3 linked regions of the Alligator mississippiensis genome follow. The protein of the gene in region 1 binds, or shares a complex with, the protein of each later gene. Links are inferred from orthologs where the notes say so. Each region holds a gene or a part of one and is shown in the gene's direction. Other genes may lie near its edges. The genes, in order: small ubiquitin-related modifier 3, USPL1 and SENP1.

Region 1 (3,742 bases):
AAAGTGGGAGAGGGCAAGCAGAACACAGAGGCAAGCCAGGAAATTAAAAGGAGAGAAAAGTCCACGAGCAAGCCGAGCCACGGAAACCAGACCATTAGAGTGGCATCTGCAAGCATGAGCCAGAAAAGCAGACGGCCAAGAACTGAGGGTGCAGGCTGAGATCAGAAGCCTCGTTAGCCAGATGCTCCCTGCAAGCTTATGGTAGGAGCCAGCAGCTCAGGTGTCAGCATCGGGGCTCTGGCACTGATGGGACTTTTGGAAGGCCTCATCTGCGTTTAGGACCAGCGGCAGTGGGGCAGAGGGCCATGCTGGCCGACGGGGATCTAGGCCTTTAGGTGTGACGCACACACAACAGGGGAGTCTTAACAGCACCCAGCGGCTGCCCCGACTCTGCCCGCAGGCGCAACACACCGCGTCCGCCGCGTGCAAGACTGAAAGGGCCCCTGCAGGCTGCGACAACTCCGGGCTACGCGAGGTGCCGCGTGCCCGCCATGAGCCTGCCCGGCGCGCGCTGGTGCCGCCCTGCAGGCCAGCTCGGTGCCTAGCTCGTACGGGTTGAGGCCACCAGGCCCTACCGGGGAGGAAGTGGCAGATACACGCGCGCCGGAAAGGCCGCGGTGGGGGGAGGGGACGTGCCAGTTGCCGCCCCTCCCCCACCCAGCTGCGCCGGCCGCCGCAGCGCCGCTTCCGGCCCCGCGCTGACGCACTTCCCCGCGCTACCTGCCCCTGCCCCCGCCCCCGCCCGGGCGCGCTCCCGCCGGGCAGCTGGCTCGCGAGCGCGCCTCGTGAGCGCGCCCCGACCCCACGTGGCCCCGCCGGCTCCAATCAGGGCCCGGGGATTTGGGTGTGGGGGAGGGGTGACGCGCGCTCTCGCCAGCGGCTGCGGCGGGAGAGAAGCGGGAGCCGCGAGCGCCATCGCCCCCCTCAGCGCCGGCGCCATGGCCGAGGAGAAGCCCAAGGTAACGGCGCGGGCGGCCCCGGCTCCTCCCTGCCCCGGGGCCGCGCGGGCCCACCCGGGAGGCGGGTCCCGCCGGGCCGCGGGGGGCGGGGCGGGGCGGCGCCGCGTTCGAACGGCCGTTGGGGCCGTTAGGGCCTTTGGGCCGGGCCGGCCGCTTCGCTCCCCTCTGCGTCCGCGGCCCCCGGCCCGCCCAGGCCGCAGGAGCCGGAGCCCCGCGGGGCAGCGGGCGCGGGAAGCGCGCGCAGGAGCAGGTGTCCCGACCTCGCAGTCACGGGCCCGGCTCCGCAGCTCGGGGGGGGGCTCCTGGCTGCCTCCCCCGGGCAATTGGAGATGGCCCGTGCAGCTCCCTTCCTGCCCTGCTGCTCTAGGGCACCAACACTCGTGGTCCTGCAGAGCCCGGGTCAGCCTTGAGGGATGAGCAGCTGCACGGTGTCAGGCTTGAGTCTTCGTTATGGGTCTCCCATGCAGTGATGGCTGTTGGTGCTGCTTTGCCTCAGACTAACCCTGAAACCTTCAGTTCTGTGCGAATTAGAGGAGTCCGTGGAGGCCAGGGGGCATTGCTCGAAGCTGGCATCAGGGGGCTGCCGAGGTAGCACTCTTGAGTTGAATTAAATGGTACTTGGCGGTGGACCTCGTGGAGATCAATGGAGCAGGTGTCATCTTTCAGAAAGCTTACTCTTGAATGAGAAGAGCAAGGGATGGGGCTCCCGCCTTTCCAGGGTTAGGTTAAATCTTCCTGCTGTTGTGATCTGCAGAGATCCCCGAACTTGATGCTGCAGACCGTGCGTGTTACTATCCGAACAGTTGTTCTTAAGTAGGTGGTGCGTGGTATCGTGCCCGGCAGTGCTCCTTGTTGGGGTGATGGAGGGGCTCTGCCCCATCCTGAAACCTTCATCATTCCTTCTGAGAGCCCACTTTGAACCGTCATTTCTTCCTTCGCTGGGCACTTGGCTGATGAGGTGTCCTCATCTGTAAAAGAAAACAGTCTAACAGTAACTTACATTTGGTGGAGTGAAAAGGATGAAAAGTTTAAGCCAGTGTCGGCAGGGGTTTGTGGCAGGGAGCCAGAATGGCCCAGCTTGGCTCTGAGATGAGATGGGCTGGTGCTAGGACCAGGCCACCACCCCGGCAGCCACCTGTGCTCTGCCACTGCTTTTCCTTGCATGTGCTGCAGCTCAGCAAGGTGTAGGAAAGCCTCTTGCTGGCTGGCCACAGTGCAGTACGGCCTAACGTGGACAAGTCCTAGCCAACAAGGCCACAACTCAGGCATAGCACTTCCTTTCTTTCTTACCCACCCTCCACATAAGGGCTCAGGGCAACTTACAAGCGAAGAAACGCATTAAAATATGAACACAACAAAATAATCCCCTCCCCCAAATTCAAAAGCAATCCGTCTCCATACAGCCTTTTCACTACCCAGTGACTGAGGAGAACTGGGGAGTGAATTGAATACTTCCATAAAAGAAAATAATTCCCCTCCTCCCTTCCCGCAGTTTATTCTCCCTCTGGGAGGGATGGGGAGATTTGTTTTTTTCAGGACATCCACATACTCTCTCCCTTTCCCCCCTGAGAAAGTACATTGTTCTTTTTTTTTTTTTTTTTTAAACCTCCCCTCTTTCTTCTGCCTTAATCCCAGCCAAAACGTAATGATAGAGGATGCCCTTTGTTTGGTAGCATCCTTTTGGAAGCTCTGGTGGTTGAAACTTGCCTTTGAATCCCTGTCGGAGAACTCATTGTCTGAAGAATTCTTTAGTGCTTTTTTTGTTGGAGGTCACCTGAAAAATAATGCCACCAAAGGGAACTTTAATAAAAACATCCATCTATTGCTTGCAGACTCGTATGCTTTAATAAGCTAGAATGTTGCAGTGAAGAGGCCTTGGTCAGGAACTTGTTAATATACATATTATAAACAGGCTGGACTTCACAGAGAGTAGGGTTTTTTTTCTTGATTCTTTTTGGCCAGTCTACTTACGTGCACAGAGCAGGTGATGCAGTCGTACAAGTGGAGATTGCGGACTTAAAGTCCTTGTGTAGGACGATATGCAAGTATCAAAAGCCCGGATTCTGTGAGCTTTTGAACTTTCATTTCCCAAAATCTTCATCCGTCCTTGCTCCATCCATGGGGGAAGAAAGACTTCCTAAACTGGAGGAACCAAGAGGACCCAGGAGCACTGGATTGGCTTTATTAAGCTCTACAAGTACAGCTGTTGTGCTGTGCTTCTGATCATTTTCTTCAAGTCTGGATTGGGTTATTCTATCTGCAGTCATCATCTAGAGAGAATTTTAGAAAAGACTGCTGCATGCCTTGGGTTCATCTTGCAAGAATTTTGAGCAGGTTGCACCTGGCAAGGTGGGCCCTGGGATGACTGTGCCTTTTTCAAGAAAGAGTAAAATCCCACGTTTGTAATGGCAGAGGAAGTAACCTGAATTGTTGGTCTGGGCTGAGACTTATTCACTGACTTTGTCCTGTGCTGGTAACTCAAGTGAATGTTTCTAGTGAAAAAGGAAATAGTTGAAGACCAGGGAAATAGGAGAGAAACTAAAAGTATAACAGGAAGTCAGTGAAAATATAACTAGGTAAAATTGGAAAACAAAAGGTAAAGCAGGGAAGGGAGGGGGGGAAAGGCCAAAGGAAAACACTACAGTGGTAATAATACAAGGTAAGGAAGAGGCTGTCAATGAAAAGGGAAATAGTTGGAAATCAGGAAGACAAAGGCAGCAAAGTAAGGGAAGGAAGAATGTAAAGGGTCAGGTCAGGCAGGTACCAGGTGAGTCAGATATCAG
Region 2 (3,742 bases), on another chromosome or scaffold:
CAGAAGTTTATGTGCATTGCCACGTGCACTCTTTCCATATATGTATACCTACATGCACACACATATATATATACACATGTATAAGTGTATATGTAGATATACACACATCCGCCCCCCCCTTACAAATACTCTTTGGCAATCCCTCACAGTTGAGGATGATCCTCCTTCATGAGGCCAATCCAGGATCAACGGACTCTACTGCAGCTGAGGTGTGCATTTCTGTGTGGGTGGGTGGCTCTGGATTCTTGATCCGACCCACAACAGGCTGTTTCTGCTGTTCCTGTTTCTCCCTCTCCAGCTGTTGTGCAGTAGACTCTACCTCCATTTGGGGCGATCCTGGGCCTGGGCCATCACTGTCCAAGAGTTGATGTTGGTGCTGCATTTTTTCGAAGTGGGACCTGAGGACGTCCTTGAAACGCTTTCTCTGCCCTCCTCCTGAACGTGTGCCTGCAATATAAACACCCCCCTCCCATCATTTCTGCAGGACTTCCCTTCTCTCCCCCCGCTGAGACGATGGAGTCTTGGCACCCAACTAGCAGTAGGGCGAGGCCTCGGCATGGGCATGTGCCAGCGACAATGGCGCCTCGACTCCAGCCTCCGGAGCCTGCGCTGCGCTGCGCTGCGCACGCGCGAACGCCCCTATTCCTCCCCCCACTTCGAACAGTTCTCTCTGTCCCCCCCGCCCGCTGTTCTGACGCGCGAGCTCCCCCATTGGCCGCAGCGCCCGAGCTACGGGCGCCGGAAGTGCGTAGGGTTGGGGCGGCCGCAGCGTGAGGCGCGTTGGCTGCCGTCCATTCCGGAGCGCGCTGAGCGGCTCCGGGTGAGGGGCGGGGCGGGGCATGCGCTGTGCTGCTGCGTAGCGCGGGCCGGACTAGGCGGCACCCACGTGCGGGCAGCTGGCCTGGGGCTACGGCCCCCTCCCAGCCCCGCTGAGGGCGGCAGCCGCGTCTCGTTTCAGGGTGGCGGCAGTGGGGGGACATGAGCCGGGGCCGGGGCGCTCGCGGGTGAAGGCGGAGGCCAGAACTGGGCGAGGAGCGGCGAGCAGGTGAGATGCGGGCTCCTGGAGCCGGGTGGGCTGAGGGGCAGGTGCGCGGGGCCGGCTCCGTCGCCTCAAGTGAGTGCGGGCGGGTGCTGACGAGAGACCGGGGCAGCCTCGAGGTGGCTCCCTCCCCACCCTTCAGCCAGGCTCAGGGCATGGGGCAGTTAAACCTTGAATCCCTGTTTGCTGTTGCGACTGCCGCCTTTGCTTGCCGGGGGGGGGGGCAACGGTCAAGGGAAACTTCCAAGGTAAATCTCACTTCGGGCTGTGATGAGCTTTGTAGTTCCCGCCCCTCCTCCTTCCCATTCACTTCAGGGGAAAGCAGTTGGAGAACTGAGGCCAGCCAGCAGGAGTTTGTCCAGCTTGTTTGAGCCATGCAGTTAGTGCAGAGAATTGTTTCTCACTTCCATGTGGTTGATATTTATTAAAACTGGTCAGTAGGACTTTGAATAGGAATTCTTGACTATAAACTCTTTCCTTGTCTGCAAGAGACTCTATAAAAAATCTCCAAGTAGATGTCCTATTTTGTATATTTTGCTTCTGAAATAGATGCTGGCATTTTATTTTTAAGCCAGTAGATTTGACATACATTCTATCAAGCTTTGTCACTTCAGTTTAGAATATTAGTAATTGTCCTATTTTCTGATGAGTTCAGTTAGATTTGAGATGTAAGTTTTGACTTCATAGTTTTAAGAATGCACACTTTTGAAACCCCTTCATTTCTTTTTGATTATTAAAATGCAGGGTCTCTGGATAAGTGTTGGAAGGGTTAGGAGTAGTTCTAGGACCAGGTTTGCAAGAGGGGTATACCTATGCTGGATAGAAAAGGAAAGAGTACAGGGGATTGAAAAGCTGTCCCACAGACTCTACAAATATCTCATGTAGGTTTCTTTCATTTCAGCCTTGTCTCAGAGAGAGACTGTGGGATAAGATATATCCTGTGTTTTAGAATATAGCAGGGCTTAAGTAGTTGTCCCTCTTGGCTACTGCTGAGTACAAAGCTGTTATATCATAGTGACACTGAGAAATTGTCAATAAGTTAAAAAAAAACAAAAAAACAACCCTCTCTGATGTTGCAAAGATATAAATGCCTGAACAGTTCAACTGGTGCCACTTTGCTTCATTTTGTTTTGCCCACTTTGAGGAGCAAAAGTACTGCTGTCTCTGGGATCCCCACTTGTTGGTTTATTCTGTCTATTCTGCACTAAAGGAGTGGTCACTGAATGTTTTCAGCTAAAATTTATTGTACTCTTAAAAGCGCAATAAAATATGGACATACATGGCTGAGGATACTGTTATAAGTAAGTGGTTGTGATTTACTTGGATGTCACAAAATAACATCTTGGGAAAGATGGTGGGGCTACAACACAAGCTTGTGCATTCTGTCCTGTCCAAGTGTTTTCCCTTTGTAAAAGTAGATAGTAAAAGGATTATGACTTGAGTTGAGACATAATCCATTCTGTTCCTCTGTTAAGTCATCCATAAATCAGTATTAATGAAGCCAAAAGATAAATATTGCCTGAAACAATCAAACTAGGTAATACATATTTTTTAATATTCATCAGACATACCAGTTTCAATGGCCAGGGATTAAGGATGCTGACACATGTTCATGTACATGTTAATCGCACCATAAATAGGAATAGTGCCACACATTCAGAGATCTGTGGTGCTATAAAGTAGCAAACCAGCCACAAAGGTAATACATAAAATGTGGACCATTTTTGTGGCTGGTTTGCATGGTACCATGAGTTGAGCATGTGGTATGTGTCCCTACATGAGCTGTGAGGCAAGGCAGACAACCAGTCCAGTTGCAGGCAGCCCCTCAACTCCCTACACTGGTAATCTTGTAAAAGCAATTGATTTGCAAGGTTCCTGTTAAAGTAATGGTGTATTTGGGATTGGTCCTCGATCCAAGCAATTGCCCATCCTGCTATATGTTTGTGGCCTGGTAGGATATGTAGAGTGTTTTTTTTTTTTTTCAGATTGGGGATGAGATACCATGACATTATTTATATGTCTGCCAGTGTTCCAAAAGCCACAGCTTCAGTGTCACGGTTTTGCTGAGCTTCTAAAGTAGGGGTCAGCAATGTTTTTGCAGGGTGCCAAAAACACCTACAGCCTTGACTTCTAAAATGTTAATGTGATGGTAGGGAGTTGCAAGGGGCCGGATCCTTGTTGTGGCAGCATAGCCCCACCCCTTTCTCCAAGGTGTGCATGCCAAACAATGCCTTTGTATGCCACACTTCGGTATGCATGCTAGCTAGGTGTTGCCTACCCCTGTTCTGAAGGGAGATGTAACTAAAAGTTTAGCAGCCAAATAAACAATGATAGATCACTAAATAGTATATACTAGTGAATCGTGTTGCCTGCCTTTTTAATATTGTGCATTTCTGGGGAGGGCAGCAGCAGAAAATTACTTGTCACATGATACACAAAAACCCCTATGGTTTTAACTATATGTAATAATTAGAGGTACACCGATACATTGGTCCAATATCGGATCAGTACCAATATAAAGAAAATTTTCTGCATCAGATATCGGTCCAACGGGGCCGATAATTTGGTGGATAAATGCTCATGCTGCGCGCAACCGCAGCACAGCACTCAGGCAGCCAAAAGAGCAGAGCCAGCAGCGTGGAGAGCTGCCTTCAGCTGGTCAGTCCGTTGTGGTAGAAGGGGAGGGGGCAGATCAATGCTCCC
Region 3 (3,742 bases), on another chromosome or scaffold:
TCGCTCTCCATGCAGTCCAGCACCCTCTGAAATATCTTCCTGTGAACCGTCTCCCACACTAGATTTGCCCGGCTGTTGCTCCTGCTGGCCCCAACCTGCATCCCCAAATACCGAACCTCTTCATGCACCTGCTGCCCTCCCGTCATGCACTGTACATGCATACTCACGTCCTGGCCAGAGCCCCCTGGTTTGACTCACTAAGAGCTAGAACTGGGGACAGGCTGGAGCTCCCGCGGCTGGGTGCATTTCAGCCGATCAGTCGCCCCATTGAAACCAAGAGGGCGATCGCTGGCGGGATCCAGCTGTGCGCAGCCAGATGCTTTCAATGCTCTGCCCGTCCCCACTCACCTGGCAGCTCCTTCCTTTTCTGGGAAAAGGGGAAGAAGGTGAGGAAAAAGAAAACGGCGGCAAAAGCAAGCGACGCAGAAAGGAAGAGTTTGGACCAAAGGAGTGTGAAGTTCAGGGGAGCCCACATGACCAGAAAGGGCCAGCTCTCCAGCCTGGTATTTATAGACATGAGCTCAGCCCGCTGCAGCAGCTGCCTCTGCCTTCCTGCTGCCTCATTGGCAGATATAAAGGGCACGGCCTTACCTTGGAGGGGTTGAGTTGGATTGCCTTGCAAATTGATTTTAAAGGAACAGGGCCCTATGCCCTATGCTGAAGGCCTCTAGGTGCCAGTCTGCCGGCACAGAAACGCCCTATGCTAGATAGCAACGCATCCTGGCCTGGATCCCCTCCATGGCCAGCAGACAACCATCGCAGGGGTCTACATCCCTTCCACCGCTGCTGCGTGGCGCACGGGGTGAGGGTGGAGCGTGCTGAAAGGGGGTCCTGGCTGCTTTTCCAGGAAGCAGAGCATAGAGCAGCCTCAAGGTTGCTCTAACCAGCACGACCAGTCAGGCAAGGCACAGCTGAAAGTGGCTGAAAGTGCCTCAAACCAGCGGTTCTCGGCCTTTTTTAAACTCGTGACATCCCTGGGCAAACGCCAGCTCTTCGTTTCCACTGTTTCGCCCTCCAGAAAAGCCAAAGAGCAGCGTTTGGTTGCGAAGAACGCAGGAAGCCCAACACGATTTGAACTTTACAGGCTTCTCTTGCAGATCCTATTTGCACACCTAGCAGCGCCAGCACCGCTCGGTGCTTGGCAGCGCCCCTGCAAGGATCTCAAGGCACCCCTAGGTGCCAGGCGCCCCGGTTAAGAGTCCCTTCAGGCAGGAGCACAAGTGCAGGACAAGGGGCCTCTGCACGTGACCAGTTTCAATGAAAACCACTAGTAGAAAAAAAATAAAAAAACATAGTTTTTTATGAAGGGAAAAATGGGTCATCATAGGAAAAAATGAAGGAAAAGTCATTTGCATATATTTATATGTAGAAGGGGCGTGGCCGGTGTTTTTTTCCTGTGCGCCATTTCCGCTTCCGCTGTTGCGGCTTTCACTTCCGGCTGGGAAGGTTCCGCGCGCTGCGGCCGGTTCCGCTTCCGGCGAGAGGCGCCTGAGGGGGTTCGGTTCGGCTCGGCCCGGCCCGGCCCGGCCGCGCCGCTCGCAGGTACGGGCCGCGCCGCGCCCCTCGCTCGCTCGCTCGCTGGCTGCCGGGCTCCTCCGGGGCTCGTCCGGCCTGCTCCTCCTTGGGCCACGGGGATAGGTGGGGTTGCTCCGGTCGCTGTCCGCCCAGAGCTTGGCAGGGAGCTGTGCCCTCGTGCTGCGCGTGGGAGCCTGGGCAGGCTGGTCAGGGGCAGCAGAAGCTTTGAAAACCTTTGATTCTGCTTCAGTTTGCTATCTGGGAAAAGCGAGGGTCTGTTCCGGACCAGAGGTTTTGATGCTGGCGCCGATTCTCACGTTGCGTGTAAGGTGTTTGCAAACGTAGTCACCGTGTCCTTTTTTTTTTTTTTCCCCCTCCCTGCCCCCAGAAGTTGCATCATCCGTGTCCGGGATGTGAGCAGCCTGGAGATGGGTGAGTGAGCGTGTTCCCTCCGTGCCGGGTTGGAGGGTTGCGCTGCCCGACGCGCGAGCCCAGCGGGGAATATCGTTCAGCCGCCGGCGCCCGCTGCGGACCTCGCATCTGCGTAACGTCGCCTAAAGCATCGGTTGAACGAGTGGCTGCCGAGAAACGTCTGATCGACATGTTAGTCTCTCGCGTTTCCTGAAGGAGTAAAATGTGCAGGAACCGACGTCGTGTCTGCCTGCGGTTTCTCTGTCTGTAATTATGGCGTATTGTAAGAACGGGTTTCGTTTGAATGTGCGGTGCTTTTTTTCTGGTGTTCGTTTGCTTTTTTTTTTTCCGCTTACGGTGATGTACGTTGGTAGGATCAGTATCAAAGTGCTGTTGCGGTTTGTCACAGAGACGCAAAGGGCAGGACTGCTAAAAGGGTGTACATTGGTGAGAAATGTGTTGAAGTTCAAGGGATGAAGTGGGTAGGAGTGGAGAACTGAGCACAGGAATATAAGACGATAAAGCACCAGGCGAGGGTGAGATTGAGACGCCTTCAGTTTCTCTCAATAAAGCTTGCATTTCTTCATGTGAGCCTTGCACAGACTCCTCGCTTCCTTGTTCTTAAGAAAGTTTCCTGATATTCATCCCGTTTCACTTCTCCTGGTTCTGTCCCCTGGCACCAGTCTGAAGCTTCCTCTCTCTCCCTGGTGTTTACCTCCTGTTATTAATATGAATATGTCTGTAGTGCCTGGAGGTTTCTCCTGAGATTAGGACCTTTGTGTTTTAGGAGTATGATAAAATAGAAATGAAATGATGGGGAGGAGGGAGCAGAGACCATGAGAGATGCCCAGAGTTTCACAGGAGGTCAGTGACGGAGCCAGGTATAGAACTGAGGGCATTGCACTTGCAGCTCAGTGCTTGACACCATTGTTCATGTCCTGGTGTGTACGTGGTCTTTGGCCATGTCGTTACTTCAGTGTGTAGACGTTAACGGCTTTCTTGCATCTCTCCTTTCCATTATGCTCGAGTGTGTGGGGAGCATCCTGTGGGCGGCCATGGACACTGTCTGTTTCCTTAGATGAGTTTGCTGATCCTATGAGGATGGATGCCGGAGATGCAGCCTTGGCTAACCATGGCTCCACGTTCAAGGCCTTCCCACCATCACAGAGGGCAGTTTTGGGGGATCAGCTTTCGCTGCCTGGAACCAAGGTTTGGGAGCCATTCCTTTTCCCTTCTAGCAATTCAGGCTGCTCATGTGCATTGCCGGGACACACATCCTTGGTGAATCCAACTGGCTCTTAACCTCTTGAGGCATCAGCATCGGCATTTAAATCAAACCCCACGGTTCTGCCTTGATGCTTGCCAAACCCCTTGCCACTGGTTAAATGTGTGGTGTCCCACGGCCTCCTTATGCTGACCAGTTTTCTCCTGCTCTTCCCATCTGTCTGCCAATCTGTTACAAGCTGCTGGGGGGCAGGAACTGTCTGACTTCTTGATATGTTCATGTAGCACCTGGCATAGCATATCTCCAGGGGCTCCCACATAGCAGATGATGCATGGTAGTGGTGCATGGTAGTCCAAATTCAGGCACTTTGCACATTGCAAAATCGTGGTCTTTTTACTGTTTGGACTGTGATGATGCTTGTACTCAAGCCCTGTTCTGCCAAATGTCATTTGAACCTCACTAGCCAAAAGATGACATCTTCTGATAAAGTCCACTATTGCCTCTGAAAACTGATGCCTCTCTGAACCAATTAGTCTCTAAGGTGTCACTTTGCTTTGCCTTCTGCAAAGAGCTTGCAGTCTGGGCATACTC

Evidence for each region.
Region 2: the proteins of small ubiquitin-related modifier 3 (region 1) and USPL1 are in contact, whole or in part, in a crystal structure (PDB 7ZJU), measured with the Homo sapiens proteins. The link is inferred for Alligator mississippiensis from reciprocal best matches to the Homo sapiens genes SUMO3 and USPL1. Residues at the interface, in NP_008867.2 of Homo sapiens: Gln24, Asp25, Gly26, Ser27, Val28, Arg58, Arg60, Gly63, Gln64, Pro65, Ile66, Asn67, Asp70, Leu75, Phe86, Gln87, Gln89, Thr90, Gly91; in NP_005791.3 of Homo sapiens: Ala234, Cys236, Trp237, Pro321, Gln322, Leu323, Arg324, Met330, Glu331, Ser332, Val334, Phe335, Leu339, Tyr368, Thr378, Thr380, His393, Phe394, Gly395, Pro396, Asn398, Arg407, His421, Val423, Tyr451, Asn454, Asn455, His456, Phe457, His493.
Region 3: the proteins of small ubiquitin-related modifier 3 (region 1) and SENP1 are in contact, whole or in part, in a crystal structure (PDB 6NNQ), measured with the Homo sapiens proteins. The link is inferred for Alligator mississippiensis from reciprocal best matches to the Homo sapiens genes SUMO3 and SENP1. Residues at the interface, in NP_008867.2 of Homo sapiens: Gln24, Ser53, Arg55, Gln56, Arg58, Arg60, Asp62, Gly63, Pro65, Asn67, Thr69, Asp70, Gln74, Glu76, Asp84, Phe86, Gln87, Gln88, Gln89, Thr90, Gly91, Gly92; in NP_001254523.1 of Homo sapiens: Gln440, Asp441, Glu446, Arg449, Leu450, Thr451, Lys455, Trp465, Leu466, Asn467, Asp468, Glu469, Asn494, Thr495, Phe496, Lys500, Arg511, Trp512, Lys514, Lys515, His529, Gly531, Val532, His533, Trp534, Gln597, Gly600, Ser601, Asp602, Cys603.

Annotation. Positions count from the first base shown.
Region 1 is NC_081830.1:33,436,165-33,439,906, reverse strand, and holds the start of small ubiquitin-related modifier 3, read left to right. Parts: upstream 1-844; 5' UTR 845-938; coding exon 939-959; intron 960-3,742. UniProt on the Homo sapiens protein: Ubiquitin-like protein which can be covalently attached to target lysines either as a monomer or as a lysine-linked polymer. Does not seem to be involved in protein degradation and may function as an antagonist of ubiquitin in the degradation process.
Region 2 is NC_081824.1:425,964,614-425,968,355, reverse strand, and holds the start of USPL1 (SUMO-specific isopeptidase USPL1), read left to right. Parts: upstream 1-850; 5' UTR 851-1,045; intron 1,046-3,742. UniProt on the Homo sapiens protein: SUMO-specific isopeptidase involved in protein desumoylation. Specifically binds SUMO proteins with a higher affinity for SUMO2 and SUMO3 which it cleaves more efficiently. Also able to process full-length SUMO proteins to their mature forms.
Region 3 is NC_081838.1:9,123,100-9,126,841, reverse strand, and holds the start of SENP1 (sentrin-specific protease 1), read left to right. Parts: upstream 1-1,451; 5' UTR 1,452-1,542; intron 1,543-1,903; 5' UTR 1,904-1,943; coding exon 1,944-1,947; exon of another isoform or gene 1,948-2,118; intron 2,119-3,004; coding exon 3,005-3,135; intron 3,136-3,742. Other genes in the region: PFKM (ATP-dependent 6-phosphofructokinase, muscle type), read right to left, coding at 349-517. UniProt on the Homo sapiens protein: Protease that catalyzes two essential functions in the SUMO pathway.